7 linked regions of the Macaca mulatta genome follow. The protein of the gene in region 2 interacts with the protein of the main gene of each other region in a pairwise test. Links are inferred from orthologs where the notes say so. Each region holds a gene or a part of one and is shown on either strand. Other genes may lie near its edges. The genes, in order: TM4SF4, CREB3, ALG3, ORMDL1, ADTRP, USE1 and TMEM115.

Region 1 (3,500 bases), on a different chromosome or scaffold from region 2:
AAGGCCTTGGATGGGAGGAGGTTCTACCTCAAAGGAAGCCAAGAGGGTGTATTTCAAAATGCCCAAGTTTCTTTTTCCTTCTAGGGTGTTTCTTTAATATGGTTCTCAGGACAGAACAAGTTAACTACTTTTGCTCCCTCCCTTAATATTATCATCAACAAACATTTCTGAGGAAAACAGTGCTAAATGCTACGACATTGCAGAGCCCTGGATTTTGTGCACTAAATTCGAAATCTCAGAGTCCACCTTGATTAGCTTCCCCTTTTCTCCTCACACCTAAACCTGATGACTCCATTTCAAACACTCTCTGAAATTTGTCTTTTTTGAGCCCCAATTCTGCTGCCTGGGTGATGTTCACCATCTTATCTGGATTATGACGGCAGCTTTTATCTCTCTTTAGTTCCTGAACCCTCCTATTTACTTTCCACATCACTAGCACCACCATGCCTCTAAAAGTCCAAAGTAGCCATGCCATGTCTTGCTTGAAGTCCTCTGCTGTGCCCTGATGCCCTGAAGGTCTGGCTGCCTCTCAGTCTCACCACATCGTGTGGCGGTCCCTTCTGCAAATCTCTCCTCATTCACACTGAGCTTCTGCCACGCAGTGCTCTGATGTTCCCTAAGCATGGCAGCCTTTTCATGCCTGAAATGCGTTTCTCCTCCCTCACTGGAAGGCAAACTTCTGCTCATCCTCCAAAATCAGCCCATGTCACCTTCTCGAAGGAGGTTCCCCCACACTCCTTCTCCATCTCACACTTTCTGCATTATGACGATCTGTTCCATGTGTTCACCCTAACCCACATGCTGATAGGGCAGGAACCATGTCTATTCATTTTTTGTTCCATGTTTGGGATAGGCTTCAGCACAAAATAAGATACTTACTACGCACACACACATACACACACACACACAGGTGTATATATACACCTATATATAAAAGTAGATATGTGTATATGTAGATATATAAATCGTGTGTGTGTGTGTATATGTGTGTGTATATATTATATATATATATTTTGAGACAGGGTTTGGCTCTGTTGCCCAGGCTAGAATGCAGAGGCATGATTACGGCTCACTGCAGCCTCAACCTCCTGGGCTCAAAAGATCCTCCCACATCAGGCACCTGGAGTAGCTGGGACTACAGGCATGCACAACCATGCCGAGCTAATTTTTTAATTAAAAAAAATTTTTTTTTCTTTTTTTGTAGAGGGGCGGTGGGGTGGGGAATTCTCCCTATGTTGCCCAAGCTGGTCTTGAACTCCTGGGCTCAAGCAATCCTTCCACCTCAGCATCCCAAAGTGCTGAGATTACAGGCATGAGCCACCACTCCCAGCCAATTAAAAAAAAAATCCTGCTACTAATTACTAGCCATTGAGCCCTGGGAAAGTTAACCTTTTTCAGCTTCATTTTTCTCTTTCAGGGATAAAAATTCTTCTCAGATTTATGAGGAAGATTAGGTGAGATAATGCACATAAAAACACTTAGCACTTAATCATTGGGAAGAAAAAGAAGAAGGAAAAGGAAGAAGAGGAGAGAAAGAAAAAAGAGAAGGAAAAGAAGAAAAGGAGGGGAGGGAAGAGGAAGAAGAACAAGAACAAGAAGAAGCAGTTGTCACCACAGCTGCCCTTTGGTAATAAGGGACAAATGACAACTGTCTCAAGTTTTCTCGTTTTGGCTCATACAAGTGACTGATCCTTTCTAGTCTCTGAGCAGCTGTGTATGAGTGTTAGGTTTCCAGCTATAACAACAGTTACTATATGCTGATTGGATAAGAAGATTCCACAGACCCTTTTAAACTATCAGATACTAGTATAGTACAGTATAGTAAAAGGAGTAGGAGGTAGAATCCAATGAGTTTTGCCAACAGGGAATCTAGGCAAAAAGCAGACAGTATGAGTCAATATAAATTGTGTTCTAGAAAAAACACTGTGACTTCAAGTGAGAAAACTTGGATTTGAGCTTCCGCCATTAAGAAACTGTATTCCTCTTGTCAAGTCACTTGTCCTCTCTGGGCCTCGGCTATCCTGCCTCCGAAGGAGAGTTAAATAATCTCATAAACTTTTTGTGAGGAGCAAATGAAACAATGTAGGTAACAGCACTTTGTTAACTGAAAACACCAAGCTATAGAAAGTTCAATTATTGCCGTAAGAAATTCAAGGTGAACTTCCGCAGTCAGAGGGAAGATTTGGAGCTGGCAGTGGTAGATAATATCAAAAAGGAATGTGAGTTCTTGTCTCAGAAGGGAGGAAACAGGATTTGAGGAGACAACAGAATGCTGCTGAAGGTTTGCCAGATGGCAGAGAGGGTGCAGTGAGATCTGGGCCCATCCCCTGAATGCCCTTCCTGTAGCCATCATGGCATATTTTGTACCTTGCGCAAAGAGCAGCCTTACATCTTACATGGGATTAAATTAAAACATAAGTAGTCAAAATCATCCTGGTCAGTGCAGGACAGAAAGATGTGTACTATGAAAGGCTAAGACTTGAAGTTAGAAGTCCTGAGTTTGAGTCCAGCACTGTCCTCAACTAACAATGTGACTTTGAAGCTCGTTAAACTTATTAAACCTGCCTTGGCACAGAGTAATTACCTCTTGATGTTACTATGAAGATTAAATTATAAATTTGTGGGATAAAGATCTTTACAGCCTACAAAGTACCATGATAATATGAAATGTTATCTTAATGAGGCTATTAACATTAACATGAGAAACCTACAATGATTTCAATGTCATTTTCTGTACATGCACTTAAACGATTGTTTAATTATAGGCAATTTGGGGTATTAGTGAAAGCCCTTGGGCCCAGTTAGTAATTATTCTTGTTTTCTATTATAAGATTTGCAACGAAAACTATTACTCTGTTTATTAATACTATTAGTTGCCTTGTGTTGCTGGTAATAAATATTTGGGTGCAAGTGATGACACAACAAATCTCTTCCTTCCCTCGGGCTAAAGGAGGCATCCATCCTCTTTTAGTTATTTCTCCTGGGATCTGTCAAAGGAGCAATTCGAAGTGAGATTCTATGCAACTTTGCTGTACTCCACAACTCCAGCTCTGCCTCAAAGGAGCACCGAGCCTGAGACTTGCATAAGGATGAAGACATGACATTGTGTGCAGTCTCCCCTTGGGCAATTTATCTGCCCGTGCCCCTTGTGGTGACAGGTGGGCATTGCAGGGTGTGGTCTTACCCGTCGTGGAAGGGGTAGCCCCAGGTACTATTGGCCATGAGGCATTTAGGACCCTTGTTGATTGAAATGGCTGAGACAATAAACGAGTATCCAGCTCCCAAGAATCCAACCACAGCAAATATCGTAGAGGTGAACATCTGAAAGAGAAGGGGAGAGACAGTCAAATTCTCCAGGTGGTCCAGAGGATACACTCAGCAAACCTAATCCACCTGCTGTTGAACATGGTGACTACAAGAAGTTATGGGGTAGGAGCTGGTCTTTATAGTAGATGGGGCCTGTGGGGTCTTCTAGAATGAATTTTGGTATCTTCTTTTCC
Region 2 (2,047 bases):
AAGTCGAACAGGGCACAGGACTAAGGACAGGGCCTATGTTTGGACCAAAGGAAGCCATGGCAAACGTGAGCCCAGAGTGAACCGTCTGAACTGTGGGAGGAAAGCACTAATAGCCCAGCCTCCAGCCTGGCCTTTCCTCCTTCCCCTCTGAACCTTCTGCAACCCTGAGCCATCAGGACAATCATACCCCTTCCCTTCTCCCCACCCAGTTGTGCCAGTAAATGGGGGTTGAGGGTGACCTAGGCAGCATTAGAATCACTTATTTATTTCTTTCCTCACCCGTTCCCTCACTGCATGAAATGTTCAGGGAGGTCAGTTGATTTCCCCAGGTACATTCATGGGGTGAGACACATGGGTACAAATAAAAGACCCAGAAAGCCAGTAAGTGTGGTGTGTTTGAGCCCTCAGTCCTCCTGATAGGGCATAGGAGCTGCAGCCAGCCCTCGCCCACCCCTTTTTATTTGGACACAGATGGGGAGCCCCACAAGCTCTTGCTGAGACCCCCCCCACATATCCTCATATCTAGCCTGAGTATCTGTCCTGCAAGATGACAGAGGGGCTACCGGTAGGAAGCCATCCCCCCTTCCTTGTGAGATTTGCCTGCAGGGGGAGGATGGGACCTCGGCAGAGAGGCTCTGAGAAGAGGTCAGGGAATGGCCACTCCAGGGGAGGCTCTGCACTGGGAGCCTGAGGCATGTAGTACAGTAGGCAGGAAGAGTTGCCAGGGGCCTGGAGTACGTGGTCTGAGCTGTCCAGCCACTGGTGTGTGCAGTCTTTTGGCACCTCTGACTGCAGGGCAGGCAACTCCAGCTGGTAAGGGTTCTCACTGGGGAGGGCACGAAGCTGGCGGGACAACACTGAGGAGACAAAGAATCTTCAGAGGCCAACCCAGGCCTCTCCCCTTGCCCATGTCTGAGAGCTATCCTTAAGCCTCTTACCTCCATGCTCAGCTGGCAGGCTCCCCCTTGTGTCAGAGGAGTACATAGCAGGTACAAGGAGGAGGCAGAAGGAGACTAGTAGGACCTACAGCAGAGGAAAAAGGAGATGAAGAAGGGCTCTGGATTGCACAACTGTCCCCAGCAACTGAGAAAAGAATTTCTCCCCTCATCACTATCCTCACCAAGATGCAGGTGCTGCTACTGCTCGTTTTGTTTGATATCTCAATCACCATGGCCTGGAGTTTCCTCAGTTGATGCAGAAGGGACCTAGAGGAAGAGAGGGGCCAATGGTGAGCATCCCCTGGCCTAGCACCCTGAGACACAGTGAAACTCCTGTTCAGGCCACCTCCTCCATCTCTGCACTGGATCCTCTCTCTTACTTTTCATTCTATTTTTGCAAACGACTTCTTCCACTCTGGAAAAAATGCCTGAAGTTCCTCATTAAAACAAACAAAAAAAGCAAAAACAAAACAAAACAAACTCTTCCAGGACTTAACCTCCTTTGCAAATATCATCAGTAGTTCCCCATTGTCTGATCAGCTATGCACATAATCCTCACCGGGCATTCTCTACGTTCTCTACCTTCTGTCCCAGCTCACATGTGTTCCAGCCCAAGAGGACTATGCTGGGCTAATCCTCTTGCCTAGGATGCTTTCTCTCTGCCTAGAATGCTTTCCCAACCCAACCCCAGAATCCTATGAAAGCCCATGAGGTCTTTCTTACCCCCTTTCTTTTTCTAGGTACTTAGCTTATTCTCAGTTACTTATAAATATATTCCCCACTACTGTGAGCTTCTTAGAATCAGAGACCTAGTGAAGGCAGCCACCCTGTTAGAAATCAAGTGTAGGGCAGGGGAAAGAGTGAGAAAACATTAAATGAGGAGCGTAGGAAGGGAATGGTTTGGAGGGATACTTACAAATTCTGTTCCTCCAGAAGCTGTACTTTGTTCTGAAGCTCCATATTCTGGGCTGTGTATTTCAAGACCCTGGGGGAAATAACAAAGATATGGGGATATGGCCTGTGTCCTCCCTTCAAAAACCTAACACTTAAAACTGAGTCCCTCTCCCTTTCATACCTGCTCTCTAAACCCCCAACATACACCTTCTTTT
Region 3 (3,955 bases), on a different chromosome or scaffold from region 2:
ACAGACTTTCAGCCAATTCCCAGGGCTTCACTACCTCTTAATCTAACTCTTTATCTGACATTCTCTGGGTGAGCCCAGGCATCTCAAACTCAACATTTCTGTAAGTGAACTCGTGATCTTTCCTCCCACTCCAATCTACTCCCCTTCCTGGGTTCCACAGATGTCACCACTGACCTCTTAGCTACCAGGTCACGAACCTGAGTAATATCTTTGATACTCCCTCCTCTCTCATTTCCAACCCTTCATCACCAAGTTCTGCCTGCTCCTCACCATAAATATTTCTATCTCATCCTTCTCTGCTACTACATACTTGGAGCCTAAAGTAATCTCTAGCCCCAGTGATTATATAATAGCCTGCTAATTAGGCCCCTGACTTCTACTTTTACCCTACTACGATGTATTTTCCACCTTGTACACCAAAGAGTTCTTCCTGAAATACAAATCATAACAGGCCTCTGCTTAAAACCTCTCAATGATTTCCCAAGACCCTTAAGATAAAGAAAACTCTGTATTATTCCCCTTTTTAGAAAGGGAGCTTAAGAATTAATTAGGTTAAGTGACTGGCTTAAGATAATTGAGCTAGGATGGTGGAGTTGGGATTGAAGCTTGCAGGGTCCTAGGTTCTTAATTATCATGCTGTCTTCTTAACAAAGCTTTCCAATTTCTTCATGATCTGGTCTCAATTTCTGCATTCCCATCTCTTACTACTCTCTTCACTTGATTTCTATACTCCAGCTCTAAAAAAATTATTTCAGTTCCTCAAAGGAACCAGGCTTTTTTTTTTTTTTTTTTTTTTTTTTTTTTTGAGACAGAGTCTTACTCTGTCACCCAGGCTGGAGTGCAGTGGCACGACCTCAGCTCACTGCAACCTTCGCCTCCTGGGTTCAAGTGATTCTCCTGCCTCGGTCTCTCAAGTAGCTGGGACTACAGGTGTGTGCCACCATGCCTGGGTAATTTTTAAGTTTTGTATTTTTAGTAGAGATGCAGTTTCACCATGTTGGCCAGGCTGGTTTTTGTTGTTGTTGTTGTTTGTTTTCTTTTGAGACAGAGTCTCACTCAGCCACCCAGGATGGAGTGCAGTGGTGCGATCTCAGCTCACCACAACCACTATCTCCCCGGTTCAAGCAATTCTTCCGTCTCAGCCTCCCAAGTAGCTGGGATTACAGACACCTGCCATCATGCCCAGCTAATTTTTCTATTTTAGTAGACACAGGGTTTCACCATGTTGGCCAGGCTGGTCTTGAACTCCTGACCTCAGGTGATCCGCCCGCCTCGGGCTCCCAAAGTGCTTGGATTACAGGCGTAAACCACCGTGCCCAGCCAGGCTGGTCTTTTAACTCCTGGCCCCAAGTGATCCGCCCACCTCAGCCTCCCAAAGTGCTGGGATTACAGGCATGAGCCACCGTGCCCACTCTAACTAGAGAGTTTCTGTTTTTTTTTTTTTTTTTTTTTTTGACACGGAGTCTCACTCTGTCACCCAGGCTGGAGTACAGTGGCACAATCTTGGCTCATTGCAATCTCCGCCTCCCAGGTTCAAGCGATTCTCCTGTCTCAGCCTCCCGAGTAGCTGGGATTACAGGCATGTGCCACCACCCCCGGCTAATTTTTATATTTTTAGTAGAGATGGAGTTTCACCATGTTGGCCAGGCTGGTCTCAAACTCCTGACCTCAGGAGATCACTCACCTAGGCCTACCAAAATGCTGGGATTACAGGCCTGCGCTCCCGCACCCGGCCTAACTGGATATTTTTAATAGAGGATCCTCTGCCCAGAGCACTCCTTCCCCTCACCTTTTCCTTCTTTCCTTAACTAGCTAGTTCCTACCTTCCTTCAAGGGTGGCTCTATGAAGCCTTTGCTGACTCCTCCAATCTGGTTTAAGTGACTTCCTATGCCCTTTATGGCATTCTGTCTTACTACCATGATGAATACGATGCATTATCATTGCCTGCTAACTTATTGTCCAGACCGGAGTTAGAAATGCATCTCTTATTCACCACTGTACCTCTCTCTGGTAATATAGTAAGCACTAAATAAATATTTAGTGCATATAATAAGCACTAAATAAATATTTGTTGAATTAAGAGTCTTTAGCAAGAAAGTCAAGTGCCTTAAGCCTAGAGTATAGTTTCAGCCTGGAAAAGAGTAGCCAATAGTGCCTAATGGACTCAAGTGGTCACAAAATGCCATCATTGAGAAGGGACGTTCAAAGATCACAGAACTGAATACATGGAAAAAGCTGAGATTCAGGAGGAGACCTGAGGTGTCCAAAGCCACAGAGAAAAGCAGCAACAGCAGCAATACAACAATTTTGGCTCAAATCTGACTTCTAAGCTAGTTCGCAGGCTGTAAGTTCAGTGCAGAAGGCCAATCTCTAGGGTATCCACCTCTGCCATGCGGGCAGATTAAGATCCGGTTTCTGTAGAGCAGGCTTGGAGCTCAGGTAAGGGATATGTATGGGTTTGCAATTGATGAGTGAGTGGATACAGAGTCTGGTTTTGAGTTCCAGGTCTGAGATCCAGTTTGGGTCGCGGGTTCAGGTCTCCCTCCCTCCCCTCCCCTCCCCTCCCCCTCGGCGCACTCACATGCCACCCTGTGAATGACCCAGAAGGTGATGCCCACCTCCGCCAGGCAGAGGCAGGCGGCCACCAGCAGCGTGTAGCGCGGCTCCCGCAGCAGCAGGCGCCGCTCTTGCCAGGCGCGCTGCAGCCATTGCTTGCAGAGTCCCGCTGCCTGGGCCGCGGAACCGGACCGTCCGCGTTTCCGCAGCCCAGCGGCCATCTTAACGGTGCACCGCTTGTGTGGGCCCACCACCCGCGGAAACCCGAACCTTCGACACTTAGGTTCCGCTTCCCGCGCCTGGCGTCCCACCAGGCTAAGCGCCGATCCGGGTAGCCAGTCTTCATTTACTCCACTAAAATGTAATTTTTCCTCTACATTTGTCTCCTCTGATGCACTCCACGCTCCATAGGAGCAGGAACAATGTCTTACTCCTCAGTTTATACCCAGCCCTAGGTACACAGGCGCTAATTTAGAACGAATGTCCAGAAAAGCAACATTCCTGCCTACCTCCGCTACAGTCCCTGAAGCCAACATTCTACTTCGCTTACGCTGGGAACATCTGTGTTCATGCTGTCTCTCCAGGAGGGCAAAGCCCCTGTTCGCGCCCCTCCTGCCTCTGCTTAGAGCCTTCCGGATGCTGAGAAAAATGAACCTTTCACTGATTTTCAGACTTCCTAATAAAAGTAATTCACATTGAAAATATGAGAGGACGCAGTGATGAGCCCACGTGAGTCTGACACCATGAATGCAGCTCTAGGAAATGAGTTGGCAATACAGCCGGAGGATTCAGGGTCTGGACGATGGTTTTCCCAGCCGGAGGATTGTTCAAAGAGCGCTTAGTAAAGGACGGAAGTTCCACGTGTTTGTGTTGAGCAACTGCAGGTGGTGGGCGGAGACACCAGGGCCCAGCCTTCTGCATCCTGCCGTCCGTATTGGCTGAAGGGCCGGCGGCTCTGGCAGTCCCCGCGGTTGAGAGCATGGCTTCTCCAGGGGCCGGTAGAGCGCCGCCGGAGTTACCGGAGCGGAACTGCGGGTACCGCGAAGTCCAGTACTGGGATCAGCGCTACCAAGGCGCAGCCGATTCTGCCCCCTACGATTGGTTCGGGGACTTCTCCTCCTTCCGTGCCCTCCTAGAGCCGGAGCTGCGGCCCGAGGACCGTATCCTTGTGTTAGGTGGGTAATCCCGGCGCGGCCCCGCCAGGTAGAGCTGGCAGGACCGGCGCCGCGCGGGCTTGGCCCGGTCCGCTTTCCTCCCGCCTGTCTACCCTCTTGGAGGACGCCTGAGTTGGGACGCGAGATCCAGCTCCTTCAGAGTCCCGGCTGTATTTAGTCAAGGCAAATAGAGTAAGAGATTGTCGGTCCCGGGGCCCTCGGGAGAAAGACACCCCCTCAGGGT
Region 4 (4,045 bases), on a different chromosome or scaffold from region 2:
CATAAGATATGATTAAGTTCAACACTTAAATACTGAAACAGTAAAGAATACTTATACAATTTAGATAGATAAGTTAACAAGGATTGAAACCAAAATGATCTATTTTCTAGATTTTATACAATGAGAAAAAAAAAGTCTTACTTAGAAAAAGGCCCAGTTTTGAAATAAAGTGTGAAAGAAAAAAGAAAATTCTATCCCAGATTAGAATTCTTCAAAATTAAGTCTTATATACTAAAAACCACTAAACTATACACTTTAAATGGGTGGATTTTATTGCATGTGAATTATATCTCAAAAAAAGCTGTTAAAAAAACTAAGTTGTACATATCACAAAACCTTAAGCTTTTTTAAAAACTGTGTTTAAACACACGTCATAAAGTTTACCATCTTAGATGCTTTTTTCCTTTGAGACAAAGTCTCACTTTGTCACCCAGGCTGGAGTACAGTGACATAATCTTGGCTTACTGCAACCTCTGCCTCCCAGGTTCAAGGGATTCTCCTGCCTCAGCCTCCAGAGTAGCCGGGACTACAGGCATGTGCTGCCCCGCCCAGCTAATTTTTGTGTTTTTAGTAGAGATAAGGTTTCACCATGTTGGCAAGGCTGGTCTTGAACTCCTGACCTTGTGATCCACCCGCCCTGGCCTCCCGAAGTGCTGCGATTTTAAATGTATAATTGAGTGGTATTAAAAACATTCATATTGTTGTGCAATCATCACCATTACCATCGACATCCACAACTCTCTTCATCTTGCAAAACTAAAAACTCTGTACCCATTAAGCAATAACCCTCCATTCCTTCCGCCCCTTAATTTCTGGCAACCACTAAACCTAAAACTTTTAAGTGTTTAGTATAATGTGAAATTCTTACCAGATTATGTATAATATTTGTTAAAGTCCAAGCAACAGGAACACTGAAGAAGGGAATGCTGAGTAAGACAATATGAAGCAAGCCAACTCCCAATGCATATGTTAGCCACATACCCCGGCTGTTCATGACACGGGTATTTGGATTCACTTCACTGTGGGCAACTCCAACATTCATGTTTGCTCTATAGGAAAGTAATAAAATGAATCAACACTGATATAACTGGCAACCTAAACACCCCCAATTCTGACATGACAAGGTACATGTGTCAGGATGATTATTTTTTCCTAGTTATCTTGAGGTAGCACACAAACACCATCCAAAATATGCTACTTGTAGAGATGCTGCTGACAGCAGTGAAGAATCGTCAACATCTGACTTTATGGTAAGACAAGACTTATTATCATGGTTCTAATTTAAAAAGTAGTTAAAATGCCTTTCCTAAAGTTTGTTTTCTAGCATGCTGTTTTACTAAATAGGAAAATTCAAACTGAAAGAGATAACCTACATTTTCTTATATCATGAGAGCAACGTGAAAAGCCAAAAGCTAAATTTACCAACATAATAAATTTATATTAAAAAGAAAAAGCAGAACTCACCCAGCCAGTCTGTCAAGTAGCCACTCTTATATCTGACTTACTGTATCCATAAAGAATAGTCAGAGTTCAGATCACTTCTTTCTGAATACTGAATGTGGAAGGTACATGCCGTTGACATAATGTGGTGTAAAATCTACATGGTCAAGGGATAATGTTTGTTTCTCAATTTTGTGATACATCTAGGTGAAAATAAAGAGTCTTCTGAATATTTCTCTAGTCAATTAAAAAACTTCAGTTTTCTTTCTTCTCTTTAAAAAAGTTTTTCCCATCTCCTTTCCATTTAAGATGGACTCCAAAGGAAGAACTGATAATAGTTACCAGTTCTTTTAATGATGGTGTTTACTTGGGTCTAAGAATTCCTTAAAATAAAACTGTCCTGAAGAACACCTATCATCCGAGGGAGGGGGAAAACGAGGCTAGATTACATTTGGAACAGTTGTGATTTTAAAATACACAAACGCTTGTATTACGGAGTTAGCATACGGAGAGGAACTTCTCTTTTCCCCATCCAGCAAGTGCTTCCAGAGTATAATGCTCCTTCCCCTCTAGAGACGCACAGAACAGGCATCAAGGGTTAAGGGGACGAAAAGTTAGTTACACTAAGACCGCGAGAGTCTCCAATTTGTATGTGTAAATCCTTCGTCTAAACACACATCATTTATCATACATTATTTTAAACTACTTAGAACATGCCAACACTCAAGATAGTTTTCCCACGTTCCACAGGATGGAGGCCTGAAATTTACATCTCAGCTGGAAGGCAAAGCTGGTGCGGTACTCATCCTATTCCAACCAGAAAACCTTTCCCCAGCAGGTTTGCCGCGCTGCCCCGCGACTGGTAAACAATGACCTTACAGACCGTGAAGAGGCCGTCGGCTCTGCCCTCGCCGGTGCCTCCGGAGACGGCGACCCGCAGCGGCCCCTCAAGGGAGTTCCCCCTGCCTGAGCCCTCTGGGACAGAGAAAACGCAGCAAAGGCCGCCGCTGCTACCACCTCAGCACCTCCCCCAACCCGCCCCTGCCTTCTCGCAGCCGCACGTCACGTCAGGACCCTGGCAAGACAGCGAAGATTTGCGTAGGGGACGAGCCTCTGAGGCCACGGCTCGCACGGCCACGCAGGGCGCCGCAGATGCAGCCGGACCTCACTTTTCCCTCTCAGGACGACCCTAGGCCGCCAGCAGTTCCCTACGGACGAAGGAGACTGTACAGCGTCCGTCGTGTTCGTGCCCACTTACCCGCCGCCCCACTCCCGGCCGCCGGCTCGCAGCAGGACCAGCCGGGCTGCTACGGCCGCGGATACACGCCCTCAGGCCGGGCGCTGCGTAGCTTGCGGAAGCGTTCACAGACAGACTCGCTGCCAGCGGATTGGCTGCGAGCAGCGCCAATCTTACGTTCCCCCCGGGCGAGACGGGACTAAGTGCCGCGCTCCTTGTATCCGCTGTGCCGCGCGCATGCTGGGTGCGAGTGCGGGGTCGGGCCTGCGCTCCGGGTGAGACGCTGGCTGCTTGCCGCTGGTGGATGGTAATTGCCTGCCTCGCGCTAGCAGGAAGGTAGTGTGGTATGACTAACGGGTATTTATTATATTCTCGAGGGCTTGAGGGCCCCCATCTCCTTTACTCGTCCTGGTCCGGGCGCGAACGCTGTAGTGCAGCTAAGGGCGCTCCCCGCGGGCGGGAAGCGAAGCCGGGCTTGCAGGCGCGTACACGTGGAGCGCGTTCTCTGAGCTGATCTGGGCTCGGGGTGTTCTGGCTTGGTCTTTGTTGCGGCCCATTCCCAGACCCTTCTGGGTGCAGGACTTAAAATTTGTTTTCCAGGCAGCAAATTTAACCCATGGCAACTGTAACTCATCTTGTGAGGTTGGCGGTTTATAGTATTCTATCCTGTGGCATCATACAAGGGGTGCAAGTTAAACTCTTTAAAGTTAATCACGATGTTTGCTCGTGGCCTTCTGGGTTTATCCGTACGCCCAAGACAGGCACCTGTATTACACATACTGAGGAAATGTGGATACCAAAAACTGATCCTGAGGAAAGTCTTGATTAGATTTTTTGGAATCGCCTTTGAAATGTAATTTCCCTCACCTTGGCAGTGCGGAAAGTTTGTGATCTTTATTGCCTAAATAGCTTTCAACATTTTGAAATTGACTTGAGAATGTTCGCTGTGTATGTCTATGTATCTTGAATTTCTGTTGGCTTTGTGAACTTGTTTTGGATTTAGTCGGATCTTTAAATAAATGATTTCTTTGTGTTCTCTCTAATGAAAGTCTGTGACTTCTCTGATCTTTACTTCTTTTTTCAGGCAGACTTGTTGTCCTTAACTGACTTTCCGGGTCATCAACATTCCTTCAGAAGTGTTCCTTTTCCCTCTCAGTAAATATGGAAGACTGACTATCCTGATATTCCCAGACATTCTTTGCTGTGATTTGTAAGCCCGATATAAACCATTCCACTTTTTCAAAAGCATTCATTTGGTACACATATGGTATAGAGTGCTATATTCCAGGGGCTATGCTAGGAATGTGTGATTGATATAAAATAAAACCCCTGTCCTCAAAGAACTCTGAGTCAGGAGGAACAGACAGA
Region 5 (4,099 bases), on a different chromosome or scaffold from region 2:
GAAACAGCTTGCCTCTGCCTTCCTCAAAAAATGAAATTCTCTCTTTCTTAGGACTGGCATGTTTCTTTAGGATATGGATTCCCAACTTTGCCCTCCTGGCTCGGCCCCTCTATGAAGCAGCCAGAGGCCCTCTCAATGAACCCCTAAGCCCCACACACAACATATTTCCCAATTTTCGTAGACTCCAAACTGCTCTCATCACTGCACCTGCCCTGTCCTTACCAGATGTCTCCCAACCCTTCATTCTCTATACTGCTGAAAACCAAGGAATAGCTCTCGGGGTCTTAGGGCAACAGAAGCGAAGTCCTTCTTCCTTTGCCGCTGTGGCATATCTCCCTAAACAGTTAGACAACACTGTCAGAGGGTGGCCAACATGTCTTAGAGCATTAGCAGCAGCAGCTGTTTTAGCTCTGGAAAGTAAAAAACTAACATTCTGCCAAAGCACCACCGTCCACAGCTCTCACAACTTACAGGATCTTCTCTCCTCCCGGGCGTTGAGCTCCCTCTCTCCTTCCCGAATTCAGTCACTCCATGCCCTCTTTATCTAAAATCCCAAATTCAGCCTTGCCAAAAGAGCCCCCCTCAAGCCGGCATCGCTAGTTCCAATATCCTCTTCCCCTCTTATTCATTCTTGCACTGACATTCTGGATCACCTGCAGCCACACTTCCCTAACGTCTCCTCTGAGCCTCTCACTAACCCAGATGACCAACTATTCGCAGACGGTTCATCTTCCGGAGCCCCTGGCTCTCCCAAAATTGCTGGGTATGCAGTAGTTACCTTAAACCATGTAATTGAGGCTAAATTCCTACTCCCAAGGAACCTCCTCCCAGAAGGCAGAACTCATAGCTCTCACCAGAGCCCTAACCCTCTCCAAAGACAAACAGGTCAACATATACACAGACTCCAAGTATGCCGATCACATTCTTCATTCCCATGCCACCATCTGGCAAGAGACAGGATTCCTTATCGCCAAAAGAACCCCCACTACTAACGGCCCCTTATTTACCAACTCCTTCAGGCCGCACACCTCCCCACGGAAGCAGGAGTCATACACTGTGGAGGACATCAAGCAGGATCAGATGAAATCTCAAAAGGAAATAGGAAGGCTGATGAGGCAGCAAAACAGGGCTCCCTTTCTCCTCTCCCTGCGCCCATCCTCCTTGTCACCCCAGCAGTCCCACCCAAATACCCTCCCACCGAAAAGGCTTCGATACTACAGCAAGGAACCTCCCTTCAAGGGGACTAGATAACCAAACATCAAAAGCTCGTTCTTCCCCAAGAGCAAAGCAAGGAAATTCTAACATCTCTTCACCAGTCCTTCCATATTGGTGCACACCCTCTGTGCCTACCCCTTCGCCCTTATTTCTCCTCCCCCCATCTATTCATCTCACTAAAGGACATAACCTCAAACTGTCATATATTCCTCCCAAGGGGCCATCTGCCCTCTCCTCATCCCTACACACCAGCTCAGAGGAACACTCCCAGGGGAGCACTGGCAAGTCAACTTCACCCACATGCCTCCTGTCAAAAAAACTAAATACCCTCTTACCCTCGTAGACACTTTTTCAGGTTGAGTAGAAGCATTTCCTACCCTTCAGAAAAAGCTGCAGAAGTCTCCCAAATTCTCATAACAGAAATCATCCCTAGATTTGGTCTCCCTCGCTCCATACATTCAGACAATGGGCCTAGCTTCATCTCCCAAATTACCCAACAAGTCTCCCAATCCCTTGGTGTTCAGTGGTGCCTCCATATCCCATACCAGCCCCAGTCATCTGGAAAAGTCGAGGGGGCAAATGGAATTCTCAAAACTCAGTTAACCAAACTCACACCTGAAGTCAAAAAACCTTGGACCTCCCTTTTACCTATAGCACTGGCTCACATCAGAGCCAGTCCAAAAGTTCCCTCCTTCCACAGTCCATTTGAGTTAATGTATGGATGCCCTTTCCTCTTACAAAACAGACCCCCTCCTAACTCTCAATTAGGAGAGTACCTCCCAACACTCTCCTTCATTTGTCATATTCTCCATGAACAAGCTGAGCAGGCCTTCCCAAAACCCCACCAAGGCCCCACCGACCAAACACTCCTTCCAGGAGAATATGTCTTTCTAAAAACTCTTACTCCAACGAGTCTCAAACCGAAGAGGGGAAGGCCCTTCCTTCTCACTACCCCCATCGCAGCCAAACTTTCAGGACACAACTTTTGGTACCATCTTTCCAGCTTAAAAAGGGTCCCTGGAGCTGACCCGCCACCAACTAACCAACCAGCTGTTCCTTGCAAATACTCCAGCACCCTTCTCAGACCAACTCGACTCCGTCTAACACCCATCCCAGAAGACCCCACTCTTCCCCCATGAACCATAACAGATAAGTTGTCACCCCTTACCATTAAGTATCTAAACCCTTATTAATGGAAATCATCCATTACGCTGCCCTTGCAGGAATCACCCTACTTACTCTACTCTTTGCCATAGGACTATATACTGTCTTGCCTCCTGGGTGGAGTTTCAAACAAAAAATCTCAATATCCGTAACCTTTTGCCTCATAATCCTGCTTAGAGCAGGTGTAACAGCCACCAACAAATAGTTGCCCCTCCCTAATGTCCTGTCTTTGCCCGTCCTGCCGTTTCACCCTCTTCCTTCACTGCATCACAGAAAACATCTCATTGTCCTACGCAGAACATCCCACCCTCACGGCATTCCTGGATTGGATCACCGATCTTCTATTTCAAGGGGATTTACAGGAATTTACTCCAGATGAAGCCGAACTCTTTACCTTTACACTTGCTCTCTGTCTATCTACTCCTTCTCCCCTCCTCCTTCTCACTACCACTCCACCTTCAGCGCACCATTCAACAGGCACATACGATACTCAATCAAACTAACCCCTCCCTGGCCAAGGCCTGCTGGTTGTGTACACACCTCAGAAACCACATCAAAGGATGCCTTCCCAGTTCCCCTCAAACACTGGGTTCTCACCAGTATAACCCTCCACCCCCGCTACCAAAGTTTCAGAGGAGTAAATGCACTCAAAGGTCACAAACTCAATCTTCCCGCACATACTTCAAAACACAAGGTTATCTTAGGAGCACTTACTAAAACTCAGCCAACACGAATCCCTATGCATAAAACGCGAACTTTCCTCAGGAGTCCCCCTAGGCACCCTCTCCTCTAGCTTATGCAACTGTAGCCTAACACTCACTCCTCCAACAGGCATCCGAACAACAGTAACAAACTCCACACAAGTTCTCAAACTTTCCAACCCCCCTCAGACCCAAGTCACGGGAAAAACATCAGGATTCTGCAATAACCGACACAGGCCCTGCTCAGAAATCGCAGGGTGGAGCGCTTGTCTAGACCCCGTCCCCACTTCCGAATGCATGGAAATCCCACTGCCTAACACACCCTCAAACGAACTACTTATTAACACAAAACTCTTCTTTCTACACTTAGAAAACTCAGCAGTAGGAGCCAGCCAGCTCACCTCAACACACCCTCTTCAACCCCTAACCAAGTGGCTCTAGCCTCCTCCCTCCACACCTGCCGCTCAGAGAACAACCTTTTACACTCCCTTTTTTCCACACATTTCCAATTCAGCCTCCCTAGCCAAGGTGTATTCTTTCTATGCAGCACCTCCACCTACCTCTGTCTCCCGACCAACTGGACAGGCACCTGTACACTGGTCTTCCTCAGCCCTAAAACAGGAATAGCTCCAGAAGGAAACCTGCCCCTCCAAACCCTAAATACTCAACTCTGACACCACAGGTGCCGGGTCATATAGCTTATCCCACTACTCGTAGGCCTAGGCATCACAGTGGCTGCAGGCACAGGAGTAGCAGGAATCACAACCTCCTCTTATCACCATAAAACCTTATCAAAAGGCCTTTCAGATGGTATAGATGACCTTGCAACTTCCATATCCACCTTACAAGCTCAGCTAGACTCCCTAGCGGCAGTCGTCTTACAAAACCACAGAGGTCTCAACCTACTGACCGCTGACAAAGGAGGACTCTGCATTTTCCTAGACGAAGAATGCTGCTTTTATTTTAACCAGTCAGGCTTAGCTCAGGATGCAGTAAAAAAAAACTCAAAGATCGAGCCC
Region 6 (4,152 bases), on a different chromosome or scaffold from region 2:
CTAGCCTTGGTCCCATAGGCTGGGCGTGCCTAGCTTTAACAAATTTATCTATTTGCTTATTTTTGAGATAGAGTCTTTCTCTGTCAACCACGCTGGAGTGCACTGGCACGATCTCAGCTCACTGCAACCTCCCCCTCCCAGCCTCAAGCAATCCTCCTGCCTCAGCCCCCCAAATAGCTGGGACTATAGGTGTGCGTCACCACACCTGGCTAATTTTTTTCCTTTTTTTTTTTTTGAGAGGGAGTCTTGCTGTGTCACCCTGGCTGGAGTGCAGTGGTGTGATCTCAGCTCATTGCAACCTCCACCTCCTGGGTTCAAGCAATTCTCCTGCCTCAGCCTCCTGAGGAGCTGGGACTACAGACAGGCGGCACTGCATCCGGCTAAGTTCTGTATTTTTAGTAGAGACAAGGTTTGGTCATGTTGGCCAGGCTGGTCTCAAACTCCTGACCTCAAGTGATCCACCTGCCTCAGCCTCCCAAATTGCCGGGATTACAGGTGTGAGCCACTGTGCCCGGCAGGAGTGCCTAGCTCTGTTTCCTCTCGGGGTCATTTCCTCTGTCCTGGCTCTTCCTCCACGTGTAATTTGGTTATGTTGCTGTTGGAGTCAGGCTGGGCATGGAGGCCCCAGGGCAGCAAGGATGTATGTCTTGTCCTAGGCAGCTGGCCCTCAAGTCCTGTTGTGTTCATGGTGACTCACCTGCAGAGTCCTGTGGAAAGAAGTAAGTGGCATGAGACTGGGTGCGGTGGCTCACTCCCAGCACTTTGGGAGGCCGAGGTGGGCAGGTCACCTGAGGTCAGGAGTTCGAGACCAGCCTGGCCAACGTAATGAAACCCCATCTTTACTAAAAATACAAAAAATTAGCCAGGTGTGGTAGGGGTGCCTGTGATTCCATGGCTCAGGAGGCTGAGGCAGAAGAATCTCTTGAACCCAGGAGGCGGAGGTTGCAGTAAGCCGAGATCGCCCCACTGCACTCCAGCCTCGGCAACAAGAGTGAATCTCCATCTCAAAAAAAAAAAAAAAAAAGTAAATGCCATGAAGTCACCCCCCTTGTCTTGTTCCCAAACCTGTCCCTTCTGATCTCAACCTTTTCACCTTCAGTCAGGACATGGGGAAATCCCATGACCTCTGAGCCTGTTTCCTCAACTATAAACTGGTAACAACCACTCATATATATATATTTTTTGAGATGGAGTTTTGCTCTTATTGCCCAGGCTGGAGTGCAATGGCTCAATCTTGGCTCACCGCTACCTCTGCCTCCCAGGTTCAAGCGATTCTCCTGCCTCAGCCTCTTGAGTAGCTGGGATTACAGGCATGTGCCACCACGCCCAGCTAATTTTGTATGTTTAGTAAAGACGGGGTTTCTCCATGTTGGTCAGGCTGGTCTCTAACTCGCGACCTCAAATGATCTGCCCGCCTTGGCCTCCAAAGTGCTGGGATTACAGGCGTGAGCTGCCGCGCCCCGCCACAACAACTCATATTTTAAAAGATTGAGCTGATCCACATAAAGTGCTCAGAAAGGAACTTGTCATCTTCTCTTACAGCTGAAGAAACTTTCGTGTCTTGTAAGTTGCAAGCCAGGACTCAAACCCTGCTCTTGGGCCAACTCTGGGGCTTAACCTGACACGTTCCATTTTTGCCTTGTACCAAATTTGCTATTCATCTAGCAAAGCCTTAGCCACAGTGCCCCTCTGTTGGGCGGCCTTGTGTGATGACCCAGGGAAGCGATTGCTGGACCCCCTCAGAGCCCCTGTATCTGACAGTATTGTGGTTCCGGCTGCCTGCAGGCATAGAACCCCCGTCCCTGTCCAAGGGGTTCCCAGGGACCAGGAAAGGAGCCCTACCGTGCCTAGTAGCTCACTCCGCATCTCGCTGGTGTACCGCGCCCGTGACTGCAGATGCACCGTCTTTGTGGCGGGCACTCGCTCTCTGGCTGTGGTTGGCACACGGCCAGGGGCCAGGAACTGGTTGGCCAGTGCTTTCTCTGAGGAGGAGGTCTGCAGAAATGTGGGAAGAGAAGTCACTGGAGGGGCAGGTCCTGGGGACGAAAGTGAGCGGTGATGGGGGCTGAGGGGGAGGGGCACCCCTTCTCACCAGCTTCTCGGCTTGCAGCATCCCCTTCAGAAAATCCACCTTCCAGGAATATTCATTGATCACCTCAGAGGCCGGTTTGCTGGGAGGTAGGAAGAAGAAAAAGAAAGCCTGTCCATGGTCCCCAGCTCAGGGAAGGGTCCCAGCTGGGACAGCGGTACTGGGATGTCCCAGAATAGCCACGTGCTGATGTGAAAGCAGTAAGGCTGCCTGCACTCACCTCGCGTGGACCTTCAGGGCCTGCAACATGTCCTCCAGGGCTCCCACGTACTGGGGAGGAAAAGTGGATTGTCACCCGGGGGTCGTTCCCACGTCCTGCTCATGGGAGTGGGGGGCGGGGCCGACAAATGGGAGGGGTCAAGCGCAAAGGAGGCGGGGCCAGTGGGGGAGGGGCGGAGTCCCAGGGACGGGGGCGGAAGCTACAGGTAGACGTGGCGGGACTGACCGGAAAGGGCGCTGCCCGAGAGGCTACTGGGGCAGGGGAGTCCGGCTAGGTGGCTTCCAACCCTAGGAACCACCCCCCGGGAGTCGGACTCTACGCGGCAGTGCGAGATCCCCTCACCTTCTCCAGGCGCCACTCGTCCGGGTCCCGTTTCTCCGCTGCCATCGCCTCGCAGCGGGATAGTAGCCGCACCAGGTTCAGCTCCAGCCTCGACGCCGCCATTATCGCCCGGCCCTACCCCGCCCCTTCCGCCGGCGCCATGTTAAGAGAGGGCGGAAGTGCCTTCAAGTGGCCTTCCGGGCGGATGTTTCGCCTGCTCCCGTTCGCTGGCCCATCTTTGTTTGGAGCAGAAGTAATACCTTGTTTTGAGGCGGGGCGCTGGGCCGGGCGCGCTGCCTCAGGGCTGTAATGCCAGCATTTTAGGAGGCGGAGTTGGGAAAGGATTGCTTGAAGCCAGGAGTTCGAGGCCAGCCCGGGCAATATAGCGCGACCCTACCTCTATTTAAAAAAAAATAGGAGAGAGGGCCGGGCGCGGTGGCTCAAGCCTGTAATCCCAGCACTTTGGGAGGCCGAGACGGGTGGATCACGAGGTCAGGAGATCGAGACTATCCTGGCTAACACGGTGAAACCCCGTCTCTACTAAAAAATACAAAAAACTAGCCGGGCGAGGTGGCGGGCGCCTGTAGTCCCAGCTACTCGGGAGGCTGAGGCAGGAGAATGGCGTGAACCCGGGAGGCGGAGGTTGCAGTGAGCTGAGATCCGGCCACTGCACTCCAGCCTGGGCGACAGAGCGAGACTCCGTCTCAAAAAAAAAAAAAAAAAAAAAAAATAGGAGAGGCGCCACCCCATTCTTTCTTACTCAGGCGAATCACTTCCTTTTCTTCGAGAGCGTGTTAACCCTTCGGGAATGATAGGACGACCGGGATCTTCGGGTGTCAGACCCCCCTGCACTGTGCCCTCTTGTTCTGTTTTGCTTGCTCGAAGTACCTCCCCCCACCCCACTACTACCTGGATTCTTCCCAGTCGGAGCTGTTTCACCTCCGCGGGCCCTTCCCGATTTCTCTTGTAGGAGGGGCTCTAGCCTGGAATTCAGGAATCCAAGGCTTCCCCCACCTCAGCGGGGCTCATCTGTATTGTGGTTATGAGCTTCCAGGTCACAGCTCCAGCTCTGATTCCATCCCCGGCCCTGGGCGAGTTTAACTTTTCTTGATCCGTTTCTTCCCCCGGGAAATGTACAGTGTGACAGTACCTGCCTCAAGGGTGATATGGGGCAGCTCTGCCTCAGAGTGAGCAAGGTGGGGCTGGGTCCCCCCTAACGCCCAGACCCCCGTGGAGAGAACCCCTTCCCAGCCCACCTCATTACCTGGAAGCTGAGTACCCCTATGCCTGCAGTGCCACGCTTCTGGAGTGAGAGGATGAGGGTGGGGGCTTCACAGGGACCAGGGCCTGGCATGCAGCCCTCATGTTTTCCCATACCTTAGATCATCTGTACCTTGGTCACACCAGTGGGCCTGATGTCCTTGAAAAATACCATAGACGGATGGGCGCAGTGGCTCACGCCTGTAATCCCAGCACTTAGGGAGGCTGAGGCAGGTGATCAACTGAGGTCAGGAGTTTGAGA
Region 7 (4,158 bases), on a different chromosome or scaffold from region 2:
AGGAAACCCTGCCTCCCTCTCCTGGTAGCCCTTTGGAGTAGGGCGTGGCCATGCAGTCAGACGTCAAAGTGGCTGGAGGAATAATCCCCACCCCCATGTAAGCTAACAACCATAAGGCTATGCCAAGAACCCGCCTCTTGACCCTCCCTTCCTCCCCACCAACCTGCTTCCCCCCCATCCATTTTCTTGGGCCTGGGCAGAGGTTTTTGAATGTCCAGCCAACCCTAATAATCCAACACCTCTCTGTGGAGGAGGGGTCCCCACTGGCCTGGCGCCACCTGAATAGCTCTGGGGGACAGTTCAATTCCTACCAGGCCCAGCTCTCCTGGCCCCAACTTTAATACCAGCTAAGGTTAAGAGAGACTCCTGTCCTTAAGGCTTATCACCTATAAAGACCCAAGCTCTAGAGCCCAGAATTATGCTCTACAGCATGCTGTATATACTTTTCAACACCTACCACACCTTGGGCCCATAGTGATCTGTGGCCCTTCCCCAGCTGGAACTCCTTCAAGAAAGGAATGTGTCCCACACTCAATTCCACAGCCCAGTGGAGAGTAAATACAGGGATAACTGCAGCTAAATTCATAGAGCTTTCTGCCACGACCCCATTCACAGGTGAGCAAAAGCAGGAGCCTTGGCAATGCAAAGGACAAAGCCCGCCCCAGATTTTACTACTGAAGTAATTGCCTCAAAACACTCAATAATAATGTTGGAAATGGAGCTGTGGATCTTGTGAAAGCTGGGACCACTTTGCTGGCTCCACAGATCTGGGGGAGAGAGAGAGAGCTGAATTTAAAAAGACCCCTCCTGCCCTGGCCAAAGTGCATTTAGTGAAGAATTCAGCTGGGACTCCTGATGCTGTGGATGGCTTGGTTTATAGATAATGAAAGGGTCATCGCCACTCCCTGGTGTAGTCAGCAGGCTCCCTCAGTGGGTCATGTAGCCTGTGTCTGGTTTTGGTGACACATGCCTGCTGGAGACGGAGGTAAATGTGGCAATACCCCAAGCTTCCCTCTCGATAAATAAGTGGCAGAGAAGCACAGCATCTGAGTTAAAGCCCAGGAAGAGGACATAGCATTTGGAAACCGGAGTGGCCCAGATCACCTTTCGAGGACCCCAGGCCTCCTTCCCTTTCCCTTCCTCACAGGGAAAGTACCAGCAGGTTGCTTCTGGCTCCCAGGCCCAATGTCTAGGATTCTGAGATTCTGAGGCAAGGCCAGGGTTCTGTGTGCCTCCACTGGGCATTCACAGCACCAAAGGAAACTGCATTTCTTGAGACTTATTAGGTGGCCACAGTGGTGAGGAAAGTGCCTCGTGGACCCCAGACACCTAACTGCTGAGTTCCTCAAGGCCAAAGACTGATTTTATTTTTCCAGATCTGCCCCAACACCTGACTGTAGGTCTCCACCTATGTACGGCAAACACCTCAACAGATGGTATGTGACTCGACCAGTATGCTCCTAGCTTGACAAGATTTTGGAAAATTTCACAGTACCTTCTCCGCTCCGCGTCTTGAGGGTCTGTGCCTGGCAGGCTGATGGTGATGGAGGATGGGGCACCCACATCGTAGCGCTTCACCGTCTTCTGGCATATCTTTACCTTCACCAGAAGGCCGTGCACCAAGTTCGCCAGCAACCCCACCACAGGCTGCAGGATCTCAGGGAAGAAAGTGGCGAAAGCAAAATGGTCAGCCATGTCCCCTCGGCCCCGGCTGTGGCGCTGGTAGAAGCGAAGATACACCCAACTGGAGAGCAATCCGAAGCCATAGGAAGCCAGTGCTGGGCTCTGGAGCAGTGTGGCGAGCCGCAGCAGGAGCAGCAGTGCCAGCAGCAGCATGGGCATCACACTGACGCGCACCTGGGGCACTCGCAGGACCACACAGTCCCCCATGGTTTGCTTGAGTGCCACCAGGACACCACCTAGGAAGCCCAAGGCGCCGTGGATACGGACAGTGAACAAGTAGACCAGGTTGAAGGAAGCCATGTAGGTGAGGAGGTAGGCGAAGGCCCCCAGCAGCCCTACAGACACATTCACCACTGAGAAGAAGATGAGCAGCTCCAAGGCCCCCCAGAGGGGCTCCAGCAAACGCCCAGCCACCACCACCGTGGTCAGGCTGATGGCCACGTCCCACACATGCTGCTCCATCAGCCCATGGGTGGCCAGGGTCCAGATCCAGAAGTTGGGGGGAAAGAGGTAGCCCGGGGTGACCGCCAGGCAGCCTGTGTCCACGGCGAAGGAGAGCAGGTAGAGGAATAGTACCGCTGCACACAGAGCCTTCACCACCACGCTGGCGCTGGCCAGGATGGCCCCCAAGTGCTGGCGGGCGCCTGGCAGGGCACGTTGCATCTTCCCGGCGGCTGTAGACCTGAGGAAAGGGTCTGGTAGGCCAGGGGCCTCCCCGGGGCCTCGTCCCAGTCCGGCCCCGATGGGAGGCCCAGGCCCGGCCTAGTCACTGGCCTATGGCCCTGGTAAAGGATCCGCTTCCGATCGGGTGGGGTTCTGGTCCCGAGGGGCCGAGTCGGGCCTTGTCGCCGGGCCGCAGTGTAGGTCCCTCGCCCGGGACCTGAGGGAAGGCCCTGGACGGCTTCGGCACGCCCGCCTGCCCACCCTGTAGGCCCCGTGCCAGGCTAGCCTGGCTGGCGTTGATCTCAGGGCTGGGCCTCCTCCATCCACTCCGAGGCCCTTCGGTTCGCAAGGGGGCTGATGCCTAGTTCCGTACCCGAGTCAAGCCTGGTCAGCTCCCGCTGGGCCTGGCTCCTGGCTTCGACCGTACCTCTTTCTCGGGGGGCCGACAAACAGGGGTGCTGCGCCTGCGCGCCCCCGGCGGCAGCGGGCTGTTCTCTAAGCGCCTGTGTTCCGGCTCCTCTGCATGCTGGGATACGGAGTCCTTGGTTGCAGCCGGGGAAGAGTGGAACAGGGTTCTGGCTAGAACTACAAGTCCCAGGAGGCCATGCGCACGGATCGGTCCCGTCGTGGTGAGAGGGGACTGTGCTGGGACTTGTAGTTCTCAGGGACCGTTTCCGTCGGTTCTCAGGAGGTGGGAAGGGATGAATTAGCATCTCTAACCCCTGAAAGCGGCGGTGGGGGTTCGGGAAGCAACACAGCTCTAGCGCCCACACTTGCTGAATTCCCTGGGAAGAGTAGCTCTATTTGTGCATGTACCTCTGAGCGAGTGTGTCCTTGTCTGCTGGCGTGTGGGTGTGTGTCACTGTGTGAGAAACAGAACCTCCGTGGTCTGTTGAATGGCACCTGACCCAGGCTGGAACCCTTGCTCTGCCTTGGCGGCTGTGTGGCATTGGTTAAGTTCCTGAACCTTTTTGAAACTCAGTTTCATGGACCGTAAAATATAGATGATGACATGATCTTCCTGTCCTAATAAGTGGAAAGGGGTGTAAAATGCCAGTCCACCCTGGGTACTCAGCGAGTGTTGCCCATGTTGCCTTTGTTTGGTTTCTCCCACTTGGAAACATTTTTTGTTATTTCACGTTGCCTTTTTTCCAAGTGAGGTGGGCCTGGAGCACGAACCTAGGACTCCCTCCCGCACACGGACGAGGCTGGGCTGCCCTCAGTGACCCTCCTCCCCACTAGAGACTTCTGATCACTGCGGAGGAAGAGAGGTCTCTCCACAAGCCTGGGCCAGAAGTGTTCTGGCCCCACTTCACGCCACAGTGGCTTCTGACAGTGGTTGTGTTCTGTGTCTTTTTTTTTTTTTGTATATTGAGTTACTTAAAAAAAAAACTGTACATATAGGCTGGACATGGTGGCTCATGCCTGTAATCCCAGCACTTTGGGAGGCCAAGGCGGGCGGATCACCTGAGGTCGGGAGTTCGAGACCAGCCTGACCAACATGGATAAACCCCGTCTCTACTAAAAATACAAAATTAGCCAGGCATGGTGGCACATGCCTGTAATCCCAGCTACTCGGGAAGCTGAGGCAGGAGAATCGCTTGAACCCGAGAGGCGGAGGTTGTGGTGAGCCGAGATCGTGCCATTGCACTCCAGCCTGGGCAACAAGAGTGAAACTTTGTCTCAAAACAAAAAGCTGTACATATAATTAAAACAATTTTTGACAAAGTACTTTTATAAAGCACAGAATCCGTTCCTTTCAGCCACTGATTTCAGTGTGTGCCGAAGTGTGCATGGCCTACAGGTTACAAA

The links.
Region 1: the proteins of CREB3 (region 2) and TM4SF4 interact in a two-hybrid assay, tested with the Homo sapiens proteins (2 studies listed by BioGRID and IntAct). The two-hybrid records come from large-scale screens. The link is inferred for Macaca mulatta from reciprocal best matches to the Homo sapiens genes CREB3 and TM4SF4.
Region 3: the proteins of CREB3 (region 2) and ALG3 interact in binary tests that used the Homo sapiens proteins (3 or more experiments, as listed by UniProt). The link is inferred for Macaca mulatta from reciprocal best matches to the Homo sapiens genes CREB3 and ALG3.
Region 4: the proteins of CREB3 (region 2) and ORMDL1 interact in a two-hybrid assay, tested with the Homo sapiens proteins (2 studies listed by BioGRID and IntAct). The two-hybrid records come from large-scale screens. The link is inferred for Macaca mulatta from reciprocal best matches to the Homo sapiens genes CREB3 and ORMDL1.
Region 5: the proteins of CREB3 (region 2) and ADTRP interact in a two-hybrid assay, tested with the Homo sapiens proteins (2 studies listed by BioGRID and IntAct). The two-hybrid records come from large-scale screens. The link is inferred for Macaca mulatta from reciprocal best matches to the Homo sapiens genes CREB3 and ADTRP.
Region 6: the proteins of CREB3 (region 2) and USE1 interact in a two-hybrid assay, tested with the Homo sapiens proteins (3 studies listed by BioGRID and IntAct). The link is inferred for Macaca mulatta from reciprocal best matches to the Homo sapiens genes CREB3 and USE1.
Region 7: the proteins of CREB3 (region 2) and TMEM115 interact in a two-hybrid assay, tested with the Homo sapiens proteins (2 studies listed by BioGRID and IntAct). The two-hybrid records come from large-scale screens. The link is inferred for Macaca mulatta from reciprocal best matches to the Homo sapiens genes CREB3 and TMEM115.

Annotation. Positions count from the first base shown.
Region 1 is NC_133407.1:52,489,460-52,492,959, reverse strand, and holds part of TM4SF4 (transmembrane 4 L6 family member 4), read right to left. Parts: intron 3,322-3,500; coding exon 3,185-3,321; intron 1-3,184. UniProt on the Homo sapiens protein: Regulates the adhesive and proliferative status of intestinal epithelial cells. Can mediate density-dependent cell proliferation.
Region 2 is NC_133420.1:63,959,885-63,961,931, forward strand, and holds the end of CREB3 (cyclic AMP-responsive element-binding protein 3), read right to left. Parts: coding exon 2,014-2,047; intron 1,924-2,013; coding exon 1,855-1,923; intron 1,206-1,854; coding exon 1,121-1,205; intron 1,024-1,120; coding exon 939-1,023; intron 858-938; coding exon 523-857; 3' UTR 501-522; downstream 1-500. Other genes in the region: GBA2 (non-lysosomal glucosylceramidase), read left to right, coding at 1-80. UniProt on the Homo sapiens protein: Endoplasmic reticulum (ER)-bound sequence-specific transcription factor that directly binds DNA and activates transcription. Plays a role in the unfolded protein response (UPR), promoting cell survival versus ER stress-induced apoptotic cell death.
Region 3 is NC_133407.1:96,379,989-96,383,943, forward strand, and holds the start of ALG3 (dol-P-Man:Man(5)GlcNAc(2)-PP-Dol alpha-1,3-mannosyltransferase), read right to left. Parts: upstream 2,801-3,955; 5' UTR 2,779-2,800; coding exon 2,583-2,778; intron 1-2,582. Other genes in the region: EEF1AKMT4 (EEF1A lysine methyltransferase 4), read left to right, coding at 3,537-3,732. UniProt on the Homo sapiens protein: Dol-P-Man:Man(5)GlcNAc(2)-PP-Dol alpha-1,3-mannosyltransferase that operates in the biosynthetic pathway of dolichol-linked oligosaccharides, the glycan precursors employed in protein asparagine (N)-glycosylation.
Region 4 is NC_133417.1:94,776,624-94,780,668, forward strand, and holds the start of ORMDL1 (ORM1-like protein 1), read right to left. Parts: upstream 2,801-4,045; 5' UTR 2,699-2,800; intron 2,464-2,698; exon of another isoform or gene 2,324-2,463; intron 1,644-2,323; exon of another isoform or gene 1,465-1,643; intron 1,050-1,464; 5' UTR 1,043-1,049; coding exon 869-1,042; intron 1-868. UniProt on the Homo sapiens protein: Plays an essential role in the homeostatic regulation of sphingolipid de novo biosynthesis by modulating the activity of the serine palmitoyltransferase (SPT) in response to ceramide levels.
Region 5 is NC_133409.1:171,335,003-171,339,101, reverse strand, and holds the start of ADTRP (androgen-dependent TFPI-regulating protein), read right to left. Parts: upstream 2,801-4,099; 5' UTR 1-2,800. UniProt on the Homo sapiens protein: Hydrolyzes bioactive fatty-acid esters of hydroxy-fatty acids (FAHFAs), but not other major classes of lipids. Show a preference for FAHFAs with branching distal from the carboxylate head group of the lipids.
Region 6 is NC_133424.1:17,695,779-17,699,930, reverse strand, and holds the start of USE1 (vesicle transport protein USE1), read right to left. Parts: upstream 2,801-4,152; 5' UTR 2,754-2,800; coding exon 2,652-2,753; intron 2,360-2,651; coding exon 2,310-2,359; intron 2,172-2,309; coding exon 2,093-2,171; intron 1,996-2,092; coding exon 1,843-1,995; intron 708-1,842; coding exon 698-707; intron 1-697.
Region 7 is NC_133407.1:113,836,767-113,840,924, forward strand, and holds the start of TMEM115 (transmembrane protein 115), read right to left. Parts: upstream 2,801-4,158; 5' UTR 2,347-2,800; coding exon 1,496-2,346; intron 1-1,495. UniProt on the Homo sapiens protein: May play a role in retrograde transport of proteins from the Golgi to the endoplasmic reticulum. May indirectly play a role in protein glycosylation in the Golgi.